Cricetulus griseus: one gene and its partner. The protein of the gene in region 1 interacts with the protein of each later gene in a biochemical or structural test. Links are inferred from orthologs where the notes say so. Each region holds a gene or a part of one and is shown in the gene's direction. Other genes may lie near its edges.

Region 1 (9,749 bases):
AAAAGTTTGTTTGGATAAGCACTGGGGTAGGGAAAAAGCCAAATGAAAAATGAAGGCTGATGACTTACAAGGGAAACCGGAAGGAGTGAAGTGTCTGTTAGGGACCACCTGAATGACATTAACAGATTGGGAGGATTAACCGTGTAGCAATTCAGCTAGAAAGTAATTGGTCTGTGGGGGCGTGCATAAGGGATCATCCCCCGGAACGTGTCGTGTCCCTTACACATGTGTGCGTTATTTCTGATGCCCTTCAAGGTTAACGAGCAGTGTTTATATTTTAGAGCCAGTTTCACCTACTATAAAAGCTTTATGATTTTTTCTCCTCTCCCCTCCAGCTAGCCACGTAACTTCATTGTAGACTTTTAGACTCCCGGAATACACACCTGTTGTAGTTGTGAGTGTGGAGTAGAATATGGACCTTTGGAAGAAAAGAGCCATCGTTTTAAATAGCTCATTTGATTTTTCCTTACAGTTTATATTCAGTGAAATACGACATTTGATGACTTTTAACACCTGTGGACTCTAGCCCACATGCCTGTCAGAAAGAACATCGTTCTCTCCTGTTCCTGTTGACACAGTCCCCACTCAGGGTACCTGGATGACAGCCAGCTTTAGACTCTCACTGAAATACAGGTTAATCCTACCCTTGGCTTTAGCGGAAAGATTGAGACGAAGTAATGAAATACATAGGGTGTTGTTTCTTTGAAGTGCTTGGGAAGTGTTTTTTTTTTTTTTTTCCCTCCAGATTTTGGAATATTTGCATTAAACGCTGTGAGATATCTTAAGGGTGGTGCTAAGACAATGTGTTTCATATTTACCTCAAAGCATAATGCTGTTTTCGTGTCTGGCTCTTCCTGACCCCTCAGAAGTCAGAGCAGAATCTGCTAGTCAGGATGCCAGGGTTCAAAGTTTCTCGTGGTGTTTCTAGTTTAGACTCTTGTTTTTTTTTTGTTTTTTGTTTCTTTGTTTGTTTGTTTGTTTGTTTTTTGAGACAGGGTTTCTCTGTCAGTCTGGCTGCCTCCCATTGCTGGGATTAAAGGTGTACACCACCACCGCACCTGGCTAGTTTTGATTTTAGCAATGTCTGCTCTGATCGTTTTTTGTCTTTTTGTTTCTAATTCTCTTGGGTGGATGTTCATGAGTGGAACTGTTGGTCATGTAGGGAGGTATGCTGACCCGGATACTGGTAGTTATCCAAAGTGGTGGAACTCCACATTCCCGCAGTCCATCATTCAGGGTTTGGATTTCTGGGTACCTCAAATTCATGTCATTCCTTTAAATTTTAGCCATTCTGCACGATGACTAGGATAGCTTAAGATGTTTTAATTTGCATTTCTTGAATATTTAGTGACACGGAGCTTTTTTTTCCCCCTTGAATTTATTGCCCACTGGGTTGTGAACTGTAAACTTTAGCAAGTTTTTGGTTTGGACTTTGGAGTAATTTAAATTTTTGAGGGTTCCTTAGGAACCCATGTCCTAAGGGCTTGGCTTCTGAGTCAGCATTATTAGGAAGTGGTAAACCTTAAGAGACGGGCTTAGTGAGGAGCCACTGGGAGCAGGACTGCAGTCACTTCCTGTCTTTCTCCTGATTTGCCCGTGGGTGGGTGGTTGGGTGTCTTTGCTGAGGACTATTCTCTAACATGACTTAACTGCCTCAAGGCAGGCCTAACAGAGCAGGACCAAATCCCTTGAAACCATGAGATGTAATAAACTTATCTGAAAAGTTGACTTACCTCAAGACTTTGTTATAGTGTGGTGTCTTAGAGTTTCTGTTGCTGCAATAAGATACCATGGCCAAAGAGGAAAGCGTTTATTTCAGTTTATACTTCCAGTTAACAGTCCATCACTGAAGGGAAGTCAGAGCAGGAATTTAAGACAGGAACCAGAGAGCAGGAGCTGATGCAGAGACCATGGAGGAATGCTGCTTCCTGGCTTGCTCCCCATGGCTGGGTAGGCCATCCAGGACCACCTGTGCAGAGTGGGCTGGGCCCTCGCTCATTAAGAAAAGGCACTGCAGGCCTGCCCATTGGGCAAGCGCTAGAAAGGCATCTTCTCAATTGAGAGTTCCTCTTCCCAGATGGCTCTAGCTGGTGTCAGGTTACAGAAAGCTGGCCAACACAGATTGTGTTTTGAAAGAGTTTACCTCTGGGAGAAGAGAAGGGGAGGGGCGTGGAAGAAGAGAAGGGGGGAGCGTGGGAGAAGAGGGGGAGGGGTTTGGGAGAAGAGAGGGGGAGGAGCATGGAAGAAGGCACAGAAGCTTGGGAAATTCACCTGTCTTTAGGTTCTGAACCCACCTGTCTTCCTTCCATAGTCTTTTTGAGAAATCTGCTATCTAGAATTTTTAATTTTCTTGCTAGGAGGAATATCTAATATCTCATTATTCAAATAAAGAAAATACCAGATTTGCTTTTGCATTAGAAAGGGGGATTTCTGAGGCTTGTTATTTATTATCTTGCCTTTGGATATTTATACCTAATTTACTGCATCATACCATTTGAATTCTCCCTTTTCTACTCATCTATAAAGTTCCAGTTGGCTGTGGCTCTCTTCAGCTCAAACACTCATATCTGACTCCCACAGTCCTTCATTTCTGCTCCTAACTGAAGCCCTCTGCAGCTATATTTGAGTTAACAGAAGCCAACACTGGCCCTGTGGTTGCTGTGGAGGCTGGGCAGTCTACAATCAAGGTTCTGGCTTCCCATTCAGCGTCTAGGGCCTGCTGCTGTGTCCTGTAGTGAAAAGTGAGCTCTGAGCTCTTCAGTCCTTCTTGAAGACTCAGATTTCCCTTGCCCTAATGACATAGGCACTTCCAAAACATTGCATCTCCAACACTATCTATCACCTTGGGGATTTTATTTCTATGTCGGGGTTTGGGGGAGACACATTCAGTCCTTAGTATAAATAAATTATTCTTTTTTTTTGTTTTTTTTTTTTTTTGACAGGGTTTCTCTGTGGCTTTGGAGGCTGTCCTGGAACTAGCTCTTGTAGACCAGGCTGGTCTTTTTTTTTTTTTTTTTGTCTTTTTTTAGATTTATTTATTATGTATTCAGTGTTCTGCCTGCATGTAAGCCTGCATACCAGAAGAGGGCACCAGATTTCATTATGGTTGTGAGCCACCATGTAGTTGCTGGGAATTGAACTCAGGACCTTTGGAAGAGCAGGCAATGTTCTTAACCACTGAGCCATCTCTCCAGCCCCACCAGGCTGGTCTTGAACTCACAGAGATCTGCCTGCCTCAGCCTCCCGAGTGCTGGGATTAAAGGCGTGCGCCACCACCGCCCGGCTAAATAAATTATTCTTTGGGGTAGTTTTACAACAGCTGTTGTTTTATGAACAAAACCCTTATTTTTGTCAATTTAGTATGGAAATTTATTAAAAATAACAGTGAGCCAGGATTATATGTAAATATAGGTATAATTTTAAAATACTTTGGAAACATGGGGTTGAATGTCAAAATCTGGCCTTGCATGGGACTGGAGCTGTTGCTCTTGCAGATGACCTGGATTTGGTTTCCAGCAAGCCCTTTGGGTAATTCATAATTGCCTGTAGCTCCAGTTCCAGGAGCTCTGATGGCCTCTTGTGGCCTCCATGGGGACTGCATGCACACTTTCTCACACAGGTATACATCAAATAGATAAATCTTAAAAACAACAACAACAACAAAAAAAACAAAAAACAAAAAACAAAAAACAAGCTGGCATTGTCTGCAGGTCTTCCTGCTCTTAGGCTGTGCTCAGTACGTTTGGGCTTAGCTTTTGTGTGAATTGGTGGACCTGGAGCTTGCTCTCTGACAGCCCTGGCCTCTCGAGTTTGGGGTTACAGGTATGGCCCACTACCCCCTGCCCACCTTTAGCTTCACAAGCTCTGTGCTCGGGCCAGTGTCCTCTGCTATCTCAGAAGGCCCATGTGCTCCTGTTTGTGTTTTTATTTCTCATACTGACCTTTGTACACATGCACCCCGTGTTGTGCAAAGAATGTGTGTTTGATCTTTAGCTGTATGATTTGGGGAAATTACCCTTAGTTTTTCTGTTTGTAAGTAGAAAACCATGAATTTCCCTGTAGCTTTTGCTAAGTGTATTAATATATGAATTCCCCAAATCTGAGGAACTCCTGTAAAGACCCCCCCCAACACACACACCTTTCTTTTTTTCTTTTTTTTTTTTTTTTTTGAATTGGAATTGAAAGTTAAGGGCAAGTTTTGTGGTGTCTTCATTTTAACAGCAGTAACATGTTGGAAACATAATAGTTTATTAAGTAGACATTGAATATTTGGGTTGTGTTAAGCAAACAAGGCAGAAAGATATGTGAGTATATAATTCAAATAGGTGCATTCAGGTTGCCGGGGCCTGGGGGTAGTGGATGGAGTGGCTGACTAGGGAGAGGCCTGGGGAAGGGCTGCAGAGGCTTGCCTTTTGTGGTTTTTTTTTTTTTTTCAAGCTTTATTACGGTCATTTTATATACCATAAACATTACCAAGAGCCAGGTCTGGTGGCCCATGCCTGGTAATCCCAGCACTAGGGAGGCAGAAGCAGGTAGAGCTCAGTAAGTTCAAGGCCAGCCTGGTCTACAAAGCAAGTTCCTGGACAGCCAGGACTGTTAACACAGAGAAACCCTGTCTTGAAAAAAACAAAAAATAAAATAAAAATTAAAAAAAAATCAAAAATGTTTTTGTTGGTTGTTTTTAAGGTCAGGTGTCACTGTACAGCCTGGGCTGACGTTTAACTTGTTTCTCTTTATCCCAGGCTGGCCTTAACCTTGGAAACTACATGGCTCTGACTTCTGAGGATTAGGGTCACAGGTGTGGACCACAGCTTCTAAGTAGCTTTTGAACACAGTACTTTGTGTATACTCTGACTAAAAGGAGAAGCAACCAATTTGAATGCCTCTTATGCTGTCTACTGCAGTGAGACAGTGCACCTCCTATGCAGGGCTGGTTAAATGAGGTTCCTTTGTTTCTTTGGTATAACCGTCACAGAATAGATTTGTTATTCCCACTGTGTGAGCCATTAAAGATTGTTGCCATTGTAAATAGTAGTGATAGATACACATCAGCTGTTCTTGCATAGTTGTATGGCTTTTAGAGTTTGTTATTGATGGTTGCTTGGATGGAGCACAGTTTAAAAATACTAAGGTTTTATGTTGAATAACTGTTAAAATGAAGCCTTTATATTGGTGAGTTCTTTTTAAATTTATTTATTTAAGTATTTATTTATTTAGGTTTTTCGAGACAGGGTTTCTCTCTGTAGCTTTGGAGCCTGTCCTGGAATTCGCTCTGCAGACCACGCTGGTCTCGACCTCACAGAGATCCGCTTGCCTCTGCCTCCTGAGTGCTGGGATTGAAGGCATGCGCCACCAACGCTTGGTTTAAGTAATTTTTTAAAAGACAATGTCTCTAGTGGCTGTCCTGGCACTCACTCTATAGACCAGGCTGGCCTGAGACTCACAGAGATCTGCCTGCCTCAGCCTGAGTGCAGGGATCAAAGGCGTGCGCCACCACTGCATCCAGAGATGTTGTTTCCAAAAGGAGCTCATTATTCCTACTTCTTTGTTTGAGACAGGGGCTCCCTGTGTAGCCCAAAATAGTCTGGGATTTGCGGTGTTGCTTAGGTTGGCCTCAGACATGTAGCTCAGCTTCTGACTGCATGGATTACAGGCATCTGAGTTCTGAGAACTGAGGTATATGACCCCTGGAATGTACCTTGTGATACAAGATGGGGGGGGGGGCTCCTTAGTGAATGCAGGGTTCGTGGCTGAGTGTCCACAGCGGTTCTGATTGTCGGGTGGTGTGTGCTGACTGCAGGCGCCTTCTTCCCTGCAGGTGTGATGGGTAGGTAACAGAGGACAGCTTCCCTTTCCTGCCAGGGCATCAGCATGACCGAGTGCTTCCTGCCCCCCACCAGCAGCCCTAGTGAACACCGCAGGGCGGAGCATGGCAGTGGGCTGACCCGGACCCCCAGCTCTGAGGAGATCAGCCCTACAAAATTTCCTGGATTGTACCGGACGGGTGAGCCCTCGCCTCCTCATGACATCCTCCACGAGCCCCCTGACATAGTGTCGGATGATGAGAAAGACCATGGGAAGAAAAAAGGGAAATTTAAGAAAAAAGAAAAAAGGAGTAAGTACTGATTTTCATTTTATTTAAAAAATTATAACAATTTGTATTAATCTTTGGATATTTCACATCATGTACCCCAGTCCCATTCATTTCCCAGTCCTTCCATGCCCACCTTCCACCCTTGTAGCCTCCTCTCAAAAGTAAATAAAAAATAAAATAAAGTAAGGGGCTGGAGAGATGGCTCAGAGGTTAAGATCAATGGCTGTTCTTCCCAAGGTCCTAAATTCAGTTCCCAGAAACCACATGGTGGCTCACAGCCGCCTGTAATGAGATCTGGTGCCCTCTTCTGACCTGTAGACAGAAGACACTGTATAATAGTAAATAAATCTTTGAAATAAAAAGTAGAAAAGGAGGAAAACAAAGAAACAAAGCTGGTGGACCCCTGGGCAGTGGCCTTCCTGTCGCTGTCAGCCGCGTTCTAATGGCCACTCTGCCCCTCCATCCTTCCTGCATCTCCACCGCACACCATTTGTTCTTCCTAGTGGCCTTGGAAGTTATGACGTATCGCACGGTACACCCTTTTGCCCAAACCGCTTGGCCTGTGAATGTTCTTTGCAATGAGTCCTTAGGTGAGGTCAAAGCCTCTGGCTTCGCTGCAGTGTCAATACTGGACCCTCATAGAGACTCGGCTGTCCTGCTGTCCTGAGTCGTGGGGATCCTGCAGCTATGGGTCAGCTTTACATCATAGTGTTTGCTCTTAAGATTTTTTTGCTTTTGGTCATTCGCAATGGGGTTTCTATGTGTAATCCTGACTGTCCTGGACTGGAGCACCTCCAACTCAGAGATGCCCCTGTCTCTGCTTCCTGAGAGCTTGAGGCTCTTCCAGAACCTCACACCACCATGACTCCAGCTCCAGGGGACCTGATGCCCTCTTCTGGCTGCCATAGGCACGTGTAACACACATTGATGTGAACACACACATAAAATAATAATATGAAAACATTTCCCAGGCACTGTGGTGCACTCCAAGGCAGAGGCAGGCAGATCTGTTTGAGTTGGATGCCAGCTTGGTCTACACAGTGAGTTTCAGGACAGTCAGAGGCATGTCGGACTATAAAGAGACAGCCAGGTGAGCGGTGCACACATGCTTTAGTTGAACTGTTCCCGAGGCTGATGCAGGGTTGTTATCTGTGCTCAGTGAGACTGACTTCATCCTAGAAACAAACGAGAACCAAAGCAAACTGGCAGTTCTCAGTTGGTGTTAAGGCAGTTAGTGTCTTTGTCAGAATGCAGGAATTACTTCTAATGTGTCAGCCAAAGTGAGGGAATAATCACACTCAGCCTTCAGTTTAAAGGGTCTGTGTGCCCCGCTCCAGTTTTCCCAGAAAGGGAGTAATGGGAGGGGGAGCAAAGGTGGCACACACACAAACCAACGTGCTGATCTCAGATGTTCTCGCTTCATGTGTGCCTCCCGTTAGAGGGACAAACAGGCAGGGTAGCTCAGTAGCAGCAGCAGCAGCAATGTTATGTTTCATGAAACATAACATTGCTTTGTGTGTGTTCTTGGTGTCTCAGAACTCTGCTCGCATATGGTGTTACTGAGAGGATAGCTGCTGTCTGCTGCCCTCTTGTGGTTATTGGCTGTCACAGACTTTTTTTGGATGGTTTTCTGGAGGCCCCAGAGGGGAAAGCTGCATTCAGGAAGCATGCGGACAGTTGACTTTGAAAGCATGATTGATTTTATGGACTGCATTTCTTTGGCAGCTGAAGGCTATGCCGCCTTCCAGGAAGACAGCTCTGGAGATGAAGCCGAAAGTCCGTCCAAGATGAAGAGGTCCAAGGGAATCCATGTGTTCAAGAAACCCAGCTTCTCTAAAAAGAAGGAGAAGGATTTTAAAATCAAAGAAAAACCCAAAGAAGAAAAGCACAAGGAGGACAAGCATAAAGAAAAGAAATCTAAAGACTTGACGGCGGCCGACGTCGTTAAACAGTGGAAGGAAAAGAAGAAAAAGAAAAAGCCCATACAGGAGCCCGAGGTGCCTCAGGTCGATGTTCCGAGTCTCAGGCCCATTTTTGGCGTTCCGCTGGCTGATGCGGTCGAGAGGACCATGATGTACGATGGCGTTCGCCTGCCAGCTGTCTTCCGTGAGTGTATAGACTTCATGGAGAAGCATGGCATGAAGTGTGAAGGCGTCTACAGGGTTTCAGGTATCGCAGACACTTCACTTTAATTTCGCTTGCAGCGACGGGGCGGAGTGAAGCGTATGGGCTGTGTCACTTACTGGGGTGGTGTGCCAAGCCTGTCATGTCTTCTCCCTGGGCCCAGTGGTGGGGAGGCTGAGATCTGTTGAAGGAAGCCTCAGCCAAGAGATATGGTTAATGACACAGCCTTGTCCTGTGTTTCCTGAGCCTGACTAGAGATGAGAAGTGTCATTTTCTAAGTAGCTGGGCCCTGAATGTGAATGCTGTGTCAGGTGTACACAGTTACTGCAGATGTCAACGAAACTGGTGACCCCTTCATCTACAGAGCTTATGTGACCATTGTAGTTCATACTTGGTCAGAATGTGTTTCATATTGGATATCTAAAATCTAGCAACCTGTACATTATTTAGAAGTACAGAGATTTCTTCCTTCAAAAGCAGCACGAGTTTTGTGCTAACCTGGGGTTCAGGTCCCAAGCTGGGCAGTGTCTGCACCAGCCATTCTGTTGCGTAGAAGGTTACTTTTGTGCTGCCCTTTGACCACACGTCTCTTCATGGGGCAGGAGAGTCATACATGTCTAGAACAAAGAGAAATATTAAGCAAATTTTCCACTTAATTGGTTCATATTCTTTCCAGCAGATAGATTTGATGTTTGGGATAACATTTAATATGACCCAGTAGATAAAATGCTGCATTGCTACTATTCTATAGAAAGTAAAACACACAGTGCATTTAAGTTTGTAATTCCTTACTTCCATATAAAGTTAAACACAAAGTTGTAAATATGATTTCTAAGTATTTATTATGTATTGAAATGTTTTAAAGGTTTACACAGGTATAGAAGCTATTTCCCACATGATCTGAAGACATTTTTTGGGGGTGCAAGTTTCTCTGAAAATTTTCTGTAGCTTTGCTCAAAGAGTCTTTTGTTTCTGATCTGTCTTTGATACTTGCATCTTTTGGAGAATCCCTCATTCCTGATGGATTGTCTCTTGTCTGTGAGGGCTCCGTGGGGGAGGTCTCCTGCTGATGGCTTGCATGTGTACTCTTTCATCTGTGACAGTGTGTCTCCTCTCTGCCCGCATTGTTATGTAGCCCAGGCTGGCCTTAACCAGGCAGTAGTCCTCTTGCCTCAGCCTCTGAGTGCTGAGTTACAGCTGTGAGCCACATTACTAGCTGGCCCCGATTCTCTGCAGCATGTCTGATTTCTTCTGTTCTCTCTCTTGTCAATTTCATGTTTTTAGGAATCAAATCAAAGGTAGATGAGCTAAAAGCAGCCTATGACCGGGAGGAGTCTCCAAACTTGGAAGAGTATGAACCTAACACTGTAGCCAGTCTGCTGAAGCAGTATTTGCGAGACCTTCCGGAGAATTTGCTTACCAAAGAGCTTATGCCGCGTTTCGAAGAGGCTTGTGGGAGGGCCACGGAGACAGAGAAAGTGCAGGAATTTCAGCGCTTGCTCAAGGAGCTGCCTGAGTGTAACCACCTTCT
Region 2 (10,423 bases), on another chromosome or scaffold:
AGTTCCCTCTCTCTCCCCTTCTCCCCTGCCCCCCAATAACACCCTACCTATTCCATACCATTTCTGCTCCCCAGGGAGGATGAGGCCTTCTATGGGGGTTTTCAGAGTCTGTCATATCCTTTTTGATAGGGCCTAGGCCCTCCCCCGTGTGTCTAGGCTGAGGGAATATCCCTCTATGTGGAATGGGCTCCCAAAGTCCATTCCTATGCTATGGGTAAGTACTGATCTACTACAAGAAGCCCCATAGATTTTCCAGGCCTCCTCACTGACACCCACATTCATGGGATCTGGATCAGTTCTATGCTGGTTTCCCACTGATCAGTCGGGGGACCAAGAGCACCCCCTTATTCAGGTCAGCTGTTTCTGTGGGTTTCACCAGCCTGGTCTTGACTCCTTTGCTCGTCGCTCCTCCTTCTCTGCAACTGGATTCCAGTTCAGTTCAGTGTTTAGCTGTGAGTGTCTGCTTCTACTTCCATCAGCTGCTGGATGAAGGCTCTAGGATGGCATATAAGACAGTCATCAATCTCATTATCAGGGGAGGGCATTTAAGGTTGCCTCCCCTCTGTTGCTTAGATGGTTAGTTGGTGTCATCCTAGTAGATCTCTGGGCATTTCCCTAGTGCCCAATTTCTCTTTAAACCTATAAATGGCTCCCTCTCTTATGGTATCTCTTATTTTGCTCTCCTCTATTCTTCCCCCTACACAACCTTCCTGCTCCCTTATGTCCTCCCCATCCCTCCTCTTCTCCCCTTCTCATTCTCCTAGCTCCCTCTCCCCTCCCCCATGCTCCCAATTTGCTCAGGAGATCTTGTCCCTTTCCCCTTCTACAGGGGACCATGTATGTCTCTCTTAGGGTCCTCCTTGTTTCCTAGCTTCTCTGGTGGTGTGGATTATAGGCTGGCAATCCTTTGCTCTATGTGCGAAATCCATATATGAGTGAGTGCATACCATGTTTGTCTTTTTGTGACTGGGTTACCTTCACTCAGGATGGTTTCTTCTAGTTCCATCCATTTGCCTGCGAATTTCAATATCCCATTGTTTTTTTCCGCTGAGTAGTACTCCATTGTGTAAATGTACCACATTTTCTCTATCCATTCTTCAGTTGAAGGGCATCTCGGTTGGTTTCAGGTTCTGGCTATTACAAATAATGCTGCTATAAACATAGCTGAACAGATGTCCTTGTATGAATGTGCTTCTTTGGGGTATATGCCTAGGGCCATATCACCCTGAACGCACCTGATCTCATCTTTTCTCTTTTCAAAAACATTTTTTTTTTTGGTTTTCCGAAACAAGGTTTCTCTGTGTAGCTTTGGAGCCTATTCTGGCACTCGCTCTGGAGACCAGGCTGGCCTTGAACTCAGAGAGATCTGCCTGCCTCTGCCTCCCGGGTGCTGGATTAAAGGTGTGTGCCACCAACGCCAGGCATCAAAAACATTTTTTATTGATCCCCTGAGAATTTCGGAGAATTTTGATCCTTTCCCAATTTTTAGTTGATCTCTTATCTTTTGACATTCCAGTATCACTTATTTGTATCTTTTTTTCAATTTTAATTGCCTCATGATCATTTTATTCCCTTTATCCTCTCATCTTATGAAAGTATGTGGAGGAATGAATGTTACAAGTAAGGTAATCAATCTGATTGAGTTTTAAGAGTATAAACATAATTTTGAAATTTTCACTTTAGAGCTTGGCAGTGGTGGTGCATGCCTTTAATCCCAACACCCAGGAGGCAGAAGCAGGCAGATCTCTGATTTTGAGGCCAGCATGCTCTAAGGACTAAGTTCCAGGACAGCCAGTGCTACCCAGAGAAACCCATCTTCTAAAACCAAAACTGAAAAACCAAATCCCCCCCCAAAAGAAAAGAAAATTCACTTAATTGAATCATTCAAACAAAGTTTAAGAAGCTATTATCACTTCCTTTTAGAGATGGAGAAACAGAGTTTGGAGATGTTAGATTTCTTCTTTAAATCAGCTAAGTGGAAGAGTGGTAACTGAATGCTGAGGTAAGGCTAGTTGGCATCGTCTTTGTTTTTTCCATCCTTCATGTTTTGTTTGGGTGAATGAATTAGAGATCATCTTGTCAGTGTTTGGGAGTAGATGTGAAGGAGGTACAGACCCCTAATGTCACCCTCAGCAACCCAAACAGTTCCCTAGAATGTTAAGGACTCAGCTTGGGCCAGACCAGAATTCATGGCTTTGATAATGAAAATCAATTTCAAGGACAGCCAGTTTAATAGCAGAGGTGACAGTTTTATTAAAGTAATTTTAATTCATGCTCATGATGAGGATTAGGAAATGACACACTCAGAAGAAAATAAGGCACAGTGGAGAGAATGGATATGGGCTTCTCAGAAGCATGTGTGTTCATTGCTTTTGCAGGAGTCATGTGTGAGGTTTATGTGCAGTTTGAAGTTACTATCTTACTACTGTGTGGTTGTAAAGGGTCACCTGACAGGATTACAGTCGACAGAGTAGGGGTGTAGTCCTACAAACATAAAGGAGGGTAGGATATATTTCTGTAGACAAAGTTACATTTGGTTTGAGATTCTCAAGCAATTTCTAGACAAAGAAATGAGGCCCTGCCCAGGGCCATACAAACTGAGATCTGAAGCTTAGGCCATTGCCAATTTTTCATACAATATCTATGCAGAAAATAAATGTTAATTACATGTCAGTAGCCTTTGCAGCAAATGTTAATTATGATAGAGTCCTTGCTCATCTGGCAAGAGGTTTTACTCAGACTCTGAGATGATGCCCCTCCCATGTCTCATAGGTTCCCTGTCTTCCCATCCTGTCTCATTCATATAGAATCCACTTCTGACTTGTTTTGATTAATTAACAGTGGTTGCTGGCTCGATTTTTAACTGTAAGGTAGAATACCTTTATGGTGATATTCACTCTTCAATTCTCTAACATCTCCAGTAACCAATCCCTTTTTTCACCCTATATACATTTATGGTCACCTTCCTGGTTCCTAAGGCTTTTTTTTTATCTTTTGATGTTTGAAAATTCCTTCAACCTGTTTGGAATGTCCTATTTCAAAAGTCAAGAGGGCTAGGAATGTCACATCTTAAGTCCTGCAATCATCTTGTCAAAAAAATGACATTTCCACCCCCACCTCCACACCCTCCACCCCTGCTTTGGAGTATTTTTCTTGAGTAAGCCTATAATTTAATTAATCCCTTCTCTGTATCTTTGTATGTATACACATTTCTTAAGTTAGATAAGCCTGCTAAAGACACAAACCAGGAATATATTGCAGCAAATACTTTAAACAAAGTGTCTTGTCAGTCGTATGGTGCTCCAGTTTCCTGTCATGTGTGTCAGTGTAGGTGCCTTGCTTTAAGCAGTGAACACTACACACACACACACACACACACACACACACACACACACACACACACACACACACGAGGTGGGGGAGGGAGGGAGATAGGTTGTATTTTTTCCCCCTGTAGATAAATTATATTAACACAGAGTGAACTGCCAGCGAATGAACATGACACAGTGTTATCAAGTTCTTTTACACGGGGCATGGATGTATTGGGCTGTACCCACGTCACACAAAAGGAAAAGGTACAACTTTCTGCCCAAATATGCAATCTCACCAGTAGTTTGCCCGTGATGCCTTTCCCAGTATGGTTTGAAGCTCATAAGATAAAATCCTCCTGTTTTTTTTTTTTTTTTTTTTACATTTGTGGATATTTTGAGATTTTATTTAAAATATCAACAGTATCAATCTAATTACGAACCATAACTTTATTACCCTCTTTCCGTGCCCTCCTTCCCACATGCTTTCCCAAGGTAGGTGAGCATTGTGCCTTACTCATGGCACCCCAGGATCTGCCTTGGGAATGGGGCGAGGTAACGGAAAACGCTGGTGGGCGCGGAGAACCACCACTCCCAGCATCCTTGGCGCTCCCAGTGCCCGCGGTTTCCTCTTCCGGTCCGGCGGCTTAGGAAACTGTAAAAGCTATGCTGGGGACGCGGCGCGGAGCTTGATTCACCTTCACCTGCGCGGAGCTCCAGCTGACCCCGGGCTTCCGCCCGGTGAGCCGTCAGACATGAACGGACGGGTGGATTATATAGTTACGGAGGAAGAGATCAACCTGACGAGAGGACCCTCGGGTAGGCGCGGGACGTGGAGGGAGTCATTGCTGAGCTCGTTGGTTTTGCGGAGCCAGGTTTACTGGCTGGAGAGCAGGCCGGCCCGACCAAGTTGCTTCCAAGAACGCCGTCGGGCACGACGAAAGAGCCCATTGGCATCCTTTGTTAGCTAGATAACGGACCCTGGGACTCGGCCTCACAACCCAGGGAAAGTGCCGCAGGCATTTAGGGCCAGGAAGGGTTTCTGTTTGCTGGTAGTAATAGAAAAGTCTAGACGAACGGCCGCTGCTTAGACAGCCTGTAGTGGACGCCACATCCGTTATTCAGTTGCCTGGATCATCCTTGTTTATATGAGGGCCCGTTCAGGTAAAAACGAGAGCGGTAAACGGCGTGGTTTTCTGAATGCATAGCAATTTCCCTGGTGCTAGGGTCCCTGTCTGCATTTCTGGGAAATTAGTTTACAGTGTCAACTGGAATGCTAAAGCAGGAGGATACCCACTACAGAAGTTTCCAGACCTAGCGCCACCCCAGAATTACTTGGGCTTGTTTTGTTTTTACATTTTTTTTTATAATGAATTAAAACGAAAAGGCTATTTTCTAGTTTCATTTTTAGGGATATGGATTCAGTATGGATTAAACAATTCTTTAAATACTAAATGTGATTCTGACAGGAAAATTCCCACTCAGCCCTGCTGTGTCTTCCTCACCGCTGCTCATGGCCAGACTGGCATTATTATTATTATTATTATTATTATTATTATTATTATTATTATTATTATTGTTTTGGTTTTTCGAGACAGGGTTTCTCTGTGTAGCTTTGGAACCTATCCTAGCACTCGCTCTGGAGACCAGGCTGGCCTTGAACTCACAGAGATCCGCCTGCCTCTGCCTCCCGAGTGCTGGGATTAAAGGCATGCGCCACCACCGCCCGGCGCCAGACTGGCCTTTAAACATGACTACATAGTGCTGTTGTCTCCCTTGGACTATTTTTAGGTTTAGGGTTAACTACTTATGGCCAAGTTTTTATCTAACAACTTACCAGTTTGTCTGTCAGTCTGTCTGGTTGGTTTTAATTCATTGGCAGAGTAATTTAACTGATGTATGCTATAGGTTCTTGTCTGTAGAGTGGAGATGGTTATGAAGTGCATTGTGTTTGACATATAGTGTTAGGATGAAGCCAGTTACGCCCTGAGAAATATTTAGAACATTGTCTTGACATATGGTAAGCAATGTGTATTTGCTATTATTGTTATCATTAGTGAATGAATGGTTAGACTGACCCCAGTAAGTTCTGCTAAATACAGTATTCCAAGAGTTGAATAAATCATTGGTTACTGTGGATTTTTATTCTACTTAGAATATTCTGTCAACTTTTCTCATCTGGAAGTTTGCAATAACTTAATCACTACTGATAGAGTGTTCTGTATAAAACACAACTTTCAGAATTAGTCATACTTTTTGTCTTCCTGTTGGGAGAAAATTGGAAGTTGGTCTTATTTATGGGAGTAACACACTGCTAATCTTTGTGGTTTATACAGAAGCTCAGTGCTGGTTGATTTTATTTTTTATTTCATTTGTCAACTTGGCAGAAGATAGAGTTATCTGGGAAAAGGAACCTCAATTGAGAAAATACCTCTATCAGATTGCCCGTAGGCAGGCCTGTGGAGCATTTTCTTGATTGATATTGATGTTTGATGATCAGCTCACGGTGGGCAGTGCCACCCTGGGCACGTGGTCCTAGATTGTAAGGAAGCAGGATGAGCAAGCCAGTAAGTAGCGCTACTGTAGTTGCTACGTCCAGGCTCCTGATGGAGTTCTCTTTATGATGGAATGTTACCTGAAAGTGTAAGATTAAATAAATCACTTCATCCCTTAGTTGCTTGTGTTACAGTGTTTTGTCATAGCAATAGAAAACCTAAGATAAACTCAAAAACTTTTGCTCAAAGACTTTTCAATATGCTCAAGTGTTTGAATTTGTCCTATTTTAGAAAACTATTCTCTCAATATTTATTTACTTTTTAGGCTAGCATGGTAGAAATTGAATTTTTATTGCATTTATTTAGTTATTTGTGTGAGGGGCAAGGAGGCCTGTAGAACTCAGAGGACAACTTTCAGGAGTCAGTTTTTTCCTTCTATCATGTGGGTCCCAGGGATTGAACTCAGGTTGTCAGAGTTGGTGGCAAGTGCTTGTGCCCACTGAGCCATCTCACTCAGCAGCCTCAGATCTTTAAATAAAAGTCCATTTTTTTGTGTGTACTTTTCATCTTCTCTTCTTAGGATCAGTTGAGATACACCTTTCTGATTGCTTTGCAAGTACATAATGACATCTAGTTCTTTAAATATACTTGCATGATACTACTTTTTATGATGTTTGAGGTTGTTTTTTGCCTAATGGTAAGGACCTAATGATATAGTCTCTTTGCAGTGGTATTACAGTATTTCCAGGGTCTTCCGATGAGAGCAGATTCCTGATATTATTATTCTTGTTTAAGCACTAAATTCAACATAATATCACTGTTTGAACCTCTGGGCATTTTAATGGGCATTGTCTAATTTCTAAGCAATTTTCTTACAGATCTAAAGTTTCTACTCTTAGTATTTCCATCAAGCATTAGAGCTAGGGAAAGTGCCCAGAGACTAAATAAGAGATTAAATTATATCTAATTAACATGCTCTTACACAAAGCAGTTTAATTTCTGTGTTGTAGTTATTTCTTTAAAAAATAGAGAATGAATTTATCCATTGAGTGGCTTCTGGAACTTTCATAAGTGTAGAGGACTAGAATCAATAGAATGAGTATGTATATTAAAAGGAGATTTATTAGATGGGTCTAAGTAGTCCAACAGTGAGGAGGTTGAGAACCTGGTAGTTACTCAGCCCATGAGGTTGAATGCCTCAGCAGATCCAACCTGTTGCTGAAGATCTGGAGGATTTCTGGAGAGCCACTGGCTTTTAGTCCATATTGGAAGCCCCAAGACACTGGGTTCTGATAGCAGGGAAGAAATGTTGTAGCAACTAGGCAGCAGCAGTAGGATAAATGGACTCAAGCAACTGGGTGATTAAACTTACCAAGGAAGTGTGAAGGAACTAAAGCTTTAAAAAGCAAGCTTTCCACCTGGACTGCATATCCATGGTATCGCCTACAGTTTAGGGTGGGTCTTTCCACTTGAAATAACCTGATCCAGAAAATTCCTTATATGTTTGTTTATGGCTAGTCTCTTAATTGATTCCAGATCCAGTCAAATTGCAAACCCAAGATTAACCATCACATTGATGCAAATCATGAACTTCTAGGAAAAAGTAATTACTAATTTAGGATTGAATTTGTCAAAAAACAATCATTGGAAATTTGTTCATTCAGTAAATGAGGAAAGGTTTACCACTTCCCAGAGCTTTCATGGTGACATCATGAAGATACACACAGGTCTCAGGGTCTTCATGGTGACATCACGAAGATACACAGGGAAGAAGCCAGCCATTACCACTAAAAACTTGGGGGTAATTTTGGTAGTGGCATAGGAGTCTTTCTGTCTACAGGAGAAATATGAGAAGCCTCTGGTTCTAAGTATACAATTCTGTATATAGGCAGCATTGTCTGGTTTAATTGGGTGAATATGTGTATGATTACTTTTTTGAGCCAGAGTAGTGTCAGAAACGAATCTTGGATATTTGCAGTTTTGTAAAGCAATTGAACCTACTGAAAAAAGAGACAAACAAACCCACAGTCATAGGAAAATCACAACAATGAAATGACTGTCCAAGGAGTGAAAAGGAAATGGCATGTAGTGTGACCTTTGTCCTGTGCTTACTTCCTCATCATTGTAAGGAATGTCTTGGCAGTCTTTGACTTCAGAAGACTGTTTGCTTTTGTACTTGGGCTCATTTCTCATGTTATTTTAAATGATTTCTATCATTTTTAAAAAGATGTTTAAAATTTTTATCTGTATGAGTGTTTTGCCTGTATTAGTATGTATACCATATATGTGCCTGGCATTCACAGAAGCCAGAGAGAGTGCTAAAAGTCTGGAACTAAAATTATAGGTAGTTGTGAGCTATCTGAGTGGGTACTGGGAAATGAACCCAGGTCCTTGCAATAGCAGCAAATGCTTAACTGCTGAGCTTCTCTCTGGTCCCCAAGTTTCTGCCAGTTTTTGATTGGCTGGTGATCTAAAGAATTATTAAAGGCAGTAGTCATAATCTTATGTTTCAAAGGTTGAACAGTTCATTTTTATCCTTTACGAACAAGTTCAGCTTGGTTGTACTTGAAGGATCTCACTTTTTCCTATATAACATCTAGAAATCTAGAAATCCCAAGTTGTGCAGATTCATTGCTCTAAGCAACATGACAAGACTAATCTAACTTTTATTTTCTGTACCAGAGATTGAGTGCAAAGGCAGTTCTACTGCAACTGAGTAATATTGGGGTCCACTATTCAGACATAAGGGCTCAGTGGGTTTCAACAAGTTACTTGCAATCTGCTATCTTTAGAAAGGGAGGAAGAAACAGTCCATTTCCTTACAGTCTTTAGAGGCCTTTCAAAGGAAAGGATAGTTAACACAATACTTTAATAAAGAATAAGTAAGAAAGTATCTTTCTGGAAGTGTGCTAATTGCTATATATTTTGTACTTGTATTTTATATTTTGTCCTGGCTAAATAAGTCTCTGTTTATAGTCACATAGACTTATTTTAGTTCTTATAGAACCACTAAATGATAGGTATTTAATCTATACTATTGGATTGAGAAGTTATCTGAGAAGTTAAAGACTTGCCCAAGAGCTAAGACCAGTAAGATTCAGAAGATTCTACTCTAGACCTGTTGATTCTACTGTACCAGATATTTCCTCCCACCACAGTACCTAAGAAGTTGATTGCTAACCTTCCCCCTGGCTTTTATTTTGTTATAGCATGCCTTATTCTCTAGAGGGATTTGATGCATGCATGCATACATGCATGCATGCAAAAAAAAAAAAACAAAAAACAAAAAATAACTTGAAAATCCATTGTGGAAAGTTTTTAGATTTTGATATTGGTAGATCTGCAGGCACATTGAGGTGAGAACCTGAAAACAGAACATTACACTACTTACGATTTTTCAGTCATGTGCTTCCCCTAACTGCTAACTGCAGTTGCTAATGGCTTTCTGATTTGTTCCTTCCCACATCTATTAAATAGACTTGAGACTATAGTGCTATATCTTTGCTTTGTTTTCTCTGGCTATAGAAAATTTAGACCTTTGTGGAATTTATAATACAATAGAGACATAGTATTCACATGCACAGGGTTAAATCTCATTGCATATGTTCATGTGGTTAAGGACTGTGAGGTATATATGTAGCAGGAAGGCAAAGGCAGAGATATGTGTGGAAGAGCATGCTAGTCTGACTCTATGTTATTTTTTTCATTACTCTGGCAAAATATGGACAAAAACAATTTAAGGAAGAAAGGAAGGGTATATTTTGGTTTATAGTTTGAGGGCAATATCTATCATGGCAGTAAAGGCCCAACAGCAGGAACTTGAGGTGGCTAGTCATACTCCCTCTACAGTTAGAAGGGAAAAAGAATGCTGGTGTTCTGCTCATTCTCCCCCCCTCCTTTTTATTCAGTCTAGATCCCAGGTCATAGAGTGGGTCTACCTCCCTTCAGGACAAGTCTTCCTTTCTGTTAAGGTTTTCAGGAACACTCTCATAAACATGGCCAAAAGTTTGCTTCCTAGGTCATTTAAAATACAATTGGCAATAAAGATAAACCATTCTAGATGCCATACTGGAAAAGGTCAAAGTGTAGAGCTAAGGGCCCTTCTGATAGTTTAGAAGGTTGAACTTAGTGGCTTTACAGAAAGGACAAGGCTTTAGTGCCAGGATCAGGGGTCAGTATTGATTTAGCCATAATAGCAAGAAGAAAATTAGTAAAGTGTATTTCTAAGAGATCAGTGAATAAATCAGTCTGGATATAGGAGAACTTTTGTTTAGGAGATTCAAGAGTGAAATTGCCAAGGTAAGTAGAGATTGAATTGTGGAGAATATTCAGTGTAACTGTGGAATCCACCTTTCTCATAGATTCAGTCTTAATATCTTCTTCCTATCCATTGGTTAAGATCCAGCCTAGGAATCATCTGTGGAAGAAGCTGCCTTATTATCAATATTGTATATGAGCTGTAGATTGCCGTTCATGTATTGCCAAAGCCCTCTGTCCAATAATGAATAGGTAGAGGGGTTTATCTCCATTTTACAAGTGAGGAAACCTTGAATTCTATTGTCACACAGCTCTCTGGGGCAGATTTGAACTGTGTGAAATTAAAATCCCAACTAAATACTA

The links.
Region 2: the proteins of Ralbp1 (region 1) and Synj2bp form a complex in vitro, tested with the Homo sapiens proteins (2 studies listed by BioGRID and IntAct, with this or other methods). The link is inferred for Cricetulus griseus from reciprocal best matches to the Homo sapiens genes RALBP1 and SYNJ2BP.

Annotation. Positions count from the first base shown.
Region 1 is NC_048595.1:454,806,661-454,816,409, reverse strand, and holds part of Ralbp1 (ralA-binding protein 1), read left to right. Parts: intron 1-5,818; 5' UTR 5,819-5,871; coding exon 5,872-6,115; intron 6,116-7,819; coding exon 7,820-8,263; intron 8,264-9,502; coding exon 9,503-9,749. UniProt on the Homo sapiens protein: Multifunctional protein that functions as a downstream effector of RALA and RALB. As a GTPase-activating protein/GAP can inactivate CDC42 and RAC1 by stimulating their GTPase activity.
Region 2 is NC_048598.1:122,170,993-122,181,415, forward strand, and holds the start of Synj2bp (synaptojanin-2-binding protein), read left to right. Parts: upstream 1-3,938; 5' UTR 3,939-4,063; coding exon 4,064-4,127; intron 4,128-10,423. UniProt on the Homo sapiens protein: Regulates endocytosis of activin type 2 receptor kinases through the Ral/RALBP1-dependent pathway and may be involved in suppression of activin-induced signal transduction.